Nothobranchius furzeri: one gene and its partner. The protein of the gene in region 1 binds, or shares a complex with, the protein of each later gene. Links are inferred from orthologs where the notes say so. Each region holds a gene or a part of one and is shown on either strand. Other genes may lie near its edges.

What was found.
Region 2: the proteins of fzd4 (region 1) and ndp are in contact, whole or in part, in a crystal structure (PDB 5BQE), measured with the Homo sapiens proteins. The link is inferred for Nothobranchius furzeri from reciprocal best matches to the Homo sapiens genes FZD4 and NDP. Residues at the interface, in NP_036325.2 of Homo sapiens: Ser51, Met52, Gln54, Asn55, Leu56, Gly57, Gln95, Phe96, Met105, Thr107, Lys109, Ile114, Asn152, His154, Met157, Cys158, Met159, Glu160, Gly161, Pro162; in NP_000257.1 of Homo sapiens: Asp33, Ser34, Pro36, Arg38, Met40, Arg41, His42, His43, Tyr44, Val45, Asp46, Lys58, Met59, Val60, Leu61, Lys102, Lys104, Leu106, Tyr122, Leu124, Ser125.

Annotation. Positions count from the first base shown.
Region 1 is NC_091753.1:34,489,314-34,493,433, reverse strand, and holds the start of fzd4 (frizzled-4), read left to right. Parts: upstream 1-1,287; 5' UTR 1,288-1,520; coding exon 1,521-1,772; intron 1,773-4,120. UniProt on the Homo sapiens protein: Receptor for Wnt proteins.
Region 2 is NC_091754.1:39,764,393-39,767,011, reverse strand, and holds the end of ndp (norrin), read left to right. Parts: intron 1-1,592; coding exon 1,593-1,817; 3' UTR 1,818-1,975; downstream 1,976-2,619. UniProt on the Homo sapiens protein: Activates the canonical Wnt signaling pathway through FZD4 and LRP5 coreceptor.

The DNA.
Region 1 (4,120 bases):
TGCATCTTTCTTTCTGCTAGTGCTAGCCACCCTGCATCCTGATACTGCAGAATGCTCCGGAAACACTTCCCAACCATTTCTCCTATCCATCCAAGCCTAATCCAGTTTCTGATAACACTCCTCTCTTTTCTAAGCTCTCCTGACAAATTGTAGCAGGTTCTATCAGATTTTTTGGGATCAAAGACATGACTAACACACAAATTTAAATCACTATCACTTTATCACTGCTGATATGGACAGAATGACGTTTGATCTGTGACTTTTGCTATCAGATTATACCGATGAACCTTTTGAGTGCTAAAAAAATCACTTTATTTGTCAAACTGAGGATGAAATCAACCTGGAAGAAAGTATTTGATGTAGTGTTATTTAAAAAAAAACTCTTTGAGCAGCTGAAGTGAATTTGCAACTCATTTGAAACACTGGTATGTAAAGTATTCCCAATATGTTGAGTGTGAGTACATGTTCTTTCAGACTCTCAAAACTCAACAAAACAGCCCCCGGCACTTTCTCATCCGAGTCCTCTGACGACGCTGAAAAGCCAAAACAACACTCTTCACTGTGAGTTTCATGCTGCAAGAGAGAGGCCTTCTCTCAGGTTGCCACGACCAAACAAAACCTGTCCATTATGTACTTTCATTGCAATGCAAAACAGATTTCTGATGCTTCAGCATCACTTAAGGCCCTACTTTCAATTACAATGTCAGGAGCACTTAGAGCTGACGAGAAGGGGAGTGGAACCTGTGGTGAGCCTGCAAACAGTCCTACAACACAACCAGGGACTGAAATTATCAATAAACATACCCACATGCAAAGAAATTGCATAAACAAACAACGAAAATAGATTTATCCAGGCTAACATGAATACAAGTTGTGAAGATTTTTAATATCTGCAGAAGAGTAGAGTGGGCACAAAGAGGAAGATTGGGATAGAAAAAAAAGGATGGAAACAGAAATGGGACAAGAGAAGGTAAAACAGAGACAGAAGGGGGAGAAATAAAGGAAGGGGGAGGAGTCTGGATGGTGATCCGGCCCTCCTAGCCCTGGGTTGGTCAGGGAAACCCAACTCCCGCGCGGGGATTGGTCGGATCTCCACCGGACAGAGGGAAAACAGTCTCCCTTCACAGACACAATAAAAGTTTTGAGCTGGGCGCTTTAGCAGCCAGTGGACGCACAACAGGACCTGCATGCTGTGTTTCTCTCTGCGCCTTTATGCACTAAGCTGCGCACGGAAAGCCCCACGAAGCTGAGGATTTATTCTAAACGCAGTTTTTCTATAAAAATGAAGTTTTACATTATATATTAGCGGGAAATACGCGCACACGTCTCGCTTCGCTGCTGCTTTGTGGATTTTCGGATGTTGGTGAATGGCACACTGACGCACGGATTACACGCGCTCCGCTCCTGCTGGACCGATACATCCACGTGCTCCCGTTTCCAAGGCGACCTTACAGTGTTTTGTGGGGATAATAACCGGGTCAGTATTTTAAACCGAGGTCACCCAGCCGCTTGGTTCATTGATGGGGGTGAACATGTCCGGGACGATCCTCCTCCACCTCCTACTCTTCTACTCCGTTTGTCCGCTCAACGCTTTCGGCGAGGACGAGGAGGAGATGACCTGCGACCCGATCCGGATCAGCATGTGCCAGGGTCTCGGCTACAACGTCACCAAGATGCCCAATCTGGTCGGCAACGTGCTGCAGTCGGACGCGGAGCTGCAGCTGACCACGTTCACACCGCTCATCCAGTACGGCTGCTCCAGCCAGCTCAAGGTATACGGGCAGCAGCTCCGTGATCACTAATCATGCGTTAGAGAAGTGAAGCTGGGAAGGGTCCAGCTAGAAACTTTTTGGATCGGCGGGTCCAGTTCCTAAAAAAAGCCTGGCAGAGTTCAGAAAGTCTGCTGTATTTGTGTGTGCGTAAAAGGAGCGTGGCTCCAGAGCACATGACAGGCAGCCAGGCTGCGCAGACTGATGGTGCCAGCAATAATGAGCATATTATAGATTGATTCCCAGGCAGTTAAAATAAGTGGAGGGCTCCCTCCTCTCCTCCCCCCGTCGTGCCATGCTGTCATGTTAATTTGGCTGAAAATGCCCCCTCTGTCTGTTGACATTCTGAGTTCATGGCTCCGCACAGCAGCAGCCGAGCTTTATACTGTAGTCTTCCTGTTAACAATGGTGCCCTCAGTAACTTTAGACAAATGCTGCTTGTTTGACTCTTGCAACTTCGAGGGCAAAAACATGGATTTCTGAAATTTTAACTTCATGCACTGAGATTATGGGGTGCTGATTGTAAATGTATATTAAATAAACAAGCAGGTACATTTGGTCATGTTTAGCTCCCCATAAAAACAAAAAATAGGGTGGGACATTTTTAAAGACAACTTCTCATCCCGTATATTTAGGATATGACAATGTTTCTAAACTAAATAATATAATTTCAAAAGTTATAAACGTGACAAGTGTTACATCTTAAAATCTTATATAGAGTTGAATCTAAACATTTTTAATTTAAGTACAAATATGTTTAACGTGACATCTATTTGTTGAAATCCAAGCACGAAAGTGGTTGTTTTAAACTAAGTAAACATCTCAGGATCCATTTGATAGATTAGGAGTTAATTTAACCATAGATTATTTATAAATGATTCTGTTTGGGTTTCCTCCACAAATGGTTAAAATGATTCTAATCCAAGACCTTAAATAGGGACTCTACTCACTATGCTTTATTTATTTATTTTTTGGGTGAGATACTTTTGTTTTACAGCAGTCTGAATTCGGTCCAGTATTTATTTAAAACAAAAAACATTTACTTTTAGATGCAACTAAATACATTGATTAATTTAAATATTTATATTAAACTTCATATTTTTATAGTGGATTATAATTTTATATAGTCAGGCTTTATTCTAAATAGTTATTATTTTACGTCATTATTTGTGGTCTGTTAATATTTGCGTGTATAACTTTACAGTCAGGGCCCCATGCGGGAGTAATGACTGCATAAAAGATGGAGATAACCTCCCTTTTCTCTTTTGGTGAATTATTAAGCTGTTTGGATCCTGTTGTTAAAATATGTTATGTGACAGCCAAGCAGGATAAAATCAACCTGCCGTCCTCCAAGTTGTAAATCATCCTGTAAGTTTAGCTGACACCCCTCCCTTCCTGCTGCTCTCCCTGCACACGCAGAGAAAAACACACTAAAGATGGAGAAAGAGGAAAGAGCCACCAGCTAATGGAAGGCTTCCTGAGTGGTAACTGGAGCGGCTTTTAGCATTAAAGTGGCAGCGCTCAGGTTACAGACGTTCACCGTCCTCGTCACTGGTTAGGCATGCACCGTGAGAAGGTTCATTACAAACCAGGCTGGATGTAACTTTATATCTTCTACTTGTTTTGTGAATGAATGAGTCGAAACGCAAAAGCTGCAAGGATTTGCATCCAGTTCTGTTTACAACCTTTCGGATTTGATCTGAACTCACCGAAGGGCTCAAGTTAGATGTGTTAAGTTTGGGAACAGATGTTTATCAGTGTTGTGGGGAAACTGTTTCCAGATCAGTTAGGCAGCTCAGTTTGCAGCTATAAAGCTGACCCAGACACTGATCAGAGAGCAGTAGAGAAAATTAAGTGCTGGGAAAATGTGATCTGGAGTTTATATCAGTTGGAGTTCACACAGGAGGGGATTCGACTCAGCTGATGCATCATCAGACGCGTGTGTGTTTGCTCAGATGTTTAACCCTCTGGAGGCAGGCGTTGCAGATTTGTAACAGTTAAAACCTACCTACCTGGTTACTCCACATACGTATTTCATGAGCATTTTTTAACTCAGAATTACCCCTGAAGGACTTATTTTTTCGTCCTTTTATCAAAATTGAGTTTGAGCCTGAGAGGGTTGTTTGCGAATAAATTCTCAGACTTTCTCAATTTGAACACTCTTGGATGATTTGGAGATTCCGTTTGTCCAGAAGCTGAGTGTCAGGGACTTGCATAAACCAGCCAGGAGAGCACGGATGATTTTCTTGACATGTTAATTTATTACTTTTTTTTTCTTTTCTCCAAAGAGGGTTCCAACCAGCACTTGACATTACAAGACGATGGACGAAGTAACAAAGTAACCCAAACTC
Region 2 (2,619 bases), on another chromosome or scaffold:
AATCAGTTTTTACTTAACGCCAACATTCTGTGAGAGTCAGCATTCTGTTAGTTGAGCTAACTTTGACTGGCCATCGGAGGGAAACTACAGCTGACGCAGCAAAACAGTTCCTTCAGCTATTCAGAAACAGCTGTTCTAGATGCAAACAATTTCATCTATCTGTTGTGATCCGGGAGACAACTCTGGACCGACCTGGTCGTACTGAGGTCTTTTCAACGAACTTTGGTACCTTGGGGTCCCACCACCCCACCCCCGACATCTCTGAACCGAAAGGGAGTCTCCTCAGGGGTACGTAGAACACAGCCAGATTGCGTCTGGTGCCGTTTTGATAATAACCAACTCCATAGTTTAATGCAGACCAAATTCTTTTCACCCAGAACTCAGTTATTCTAGATACAAGGTTCTGATAAACACACACCATAAAATCACCATACATCACATCCCGTCCATTTAGATTAATCCATCACAGTAGCCTTGGTTAACTTGTCATGTTTTTAATTGTTTAGAAAATAAATTCTTACTTTAATAAACCTGATTCTGTCTGAATTAATACGAAGTGTGATATGATCACTGAAAAGGCAAAGAATCCTAGAATCTTCTGATTAAACATTCAAAAACCAATAAGATGTGATATTCTATATTTATATAGAGAATCACAGCTTATTGGCCATAAGTAAAGGTAATATATTAAGCTTAAAAGCAACAATATTTAACCCTACACAGAGTTTAACTGGAGGAAGTTATCTTCTAGCCAGCTGGTGATCGCTGATAGACACTCTAGTAATTCAGACAGTTTGTAGAACTCAGAATCCTTAAAGGAGCAGTACAGCTGAATGTCATCTGCATATAGGTGATAAGAGACATTATGAAAAGAATCAGTTATCTGCTCTGGTGTGCTGCAGACTTTAGGATTCCTGACTTTTATTTTTAATGTTTGTGTTTTACACTAATGACACATTAAATCTGTGAAGCAAACAGCTGTTGAAGCTCTAGCTGTGAGAGGTGAAGCAGGAACAATAAGCACTAAGAGGGGCAAGCAAAGAAGGAGAGAGAAAGAGAGAGAGTGATAGCCTGATCTCTGGTCAGCACAAACAGAACTGGTTTTAATGTGTGTGTGTGTGTGTGTGTGTGTGTGTGTGTGTGTGTGTGTGTGTGTGTGTGTGTGTGTGTGTGTGTGTGTGTGTGTGTGTGTGTGTGTGTGTGTGTGTGTGTGTGTGTGTGTGTGTGGTGACACGCAGCAGCTGACAGGATCACATAACCTAGGAGGCTGTTCAGGGTAGCAACAGGAATGTAGTGACTCTCATCGGAATGCTACTTGGGAGGCCTCTAGTCTAACAGTCTGATGGAGTGTGTGGGTGTGTACTTAGAGATGACAAGTTGCTGGTTATCTATCCTCCAAACGATTCTTCTAATGTCAGTGTGGGAACCTGAGTGGAGTGATGGGGTTGCAGGTTTGCTGCTGGAGGTCTACGCAGACATTCAGAACCCAAATGGACTTGTCTGGGCAGATGCAAGCCCTGTCTGCCAGAACCTCTGGTTGATGAGAACACCTGTGATGAATCTTCTGTCTTTTCTGGCATGCTGTTTTGCAGATGGTGCTGCTGGCACGCTGTGAGGGCCACTGCAGGCACACCACCCGCTCAGACCCCCTAATCTCCTTCAGCTCCGTGCTCAAACAGCCTTTCAAAAGCTCCTGTTCCTGCTGCCGGCCACGCACCTCCAACCTGAAGGCAGTGAGGCTGCGCTGCTCCGGTGGGATGCGCATCACAGCCACTTACAGATACATCTTAGCCTGCAACTGCAAGGAGTGCAGCTGAGCTGGCAGCAGCTCCTTCTCACCTTCCAGACTCTCAACATCCAACATTTTTCTTGGCCTCAGAATATATGTTCAGAACCAGCAAATCTGGAGAGACTATTAGTTCCAAATGGGAGTGAAATGGTGTTTCGCTCTAAGCTTTGGTTTGGAGATTATAACACATTGAGATGCCATCTGCAGGTCTATGTACCCCTACGGAAGTCCCCGTTTAGATCTGGAATGTCGGGGGTCCAGCTTGGACCTTCTTGGAACTGACACCTGTAGATATGCAGCGGTTGCTGACCCTTCCAGTCTTGAGTTACTCCCAGGTCACGACAGTTTATTGGCATCAGCGAGACCCTGAAGGGGTCGTGATGGTTAAACTTTTATTCTGAAGGAACCGTTGCTGCAGGTGGAACATGCAACAGATTTAATCCAGGCAACAGATTTAATCCAGCTTGTCGTTAGGTTCTTTCAGCTTTAAGAGGAAAGTTACGGATTGGCCACTCCGATAACTTCTCTAGAACGCTTGGAACTGAAGTTAAGATGACGTGGGGCATAGTTTTATAATTTGGATGTTTTGATTTACTGTCAAATCAGAATTTGACAACAAAAGCAAATTATACAAATACCAACAAAAACCACGCCTCGCATCAGATCTGGAAGGTTCTGATTGGATCAGAAAAAGGAAATGTGTCATGTGACTTTAACATTACGTGTGATCAGTCTAGTGTAAATATTTAAAGTTATATTACTTATTAAAATACTATCATAGGATTATAATATCAAGTAATTAATATTCTCATTTCACAGATTGATTGAAC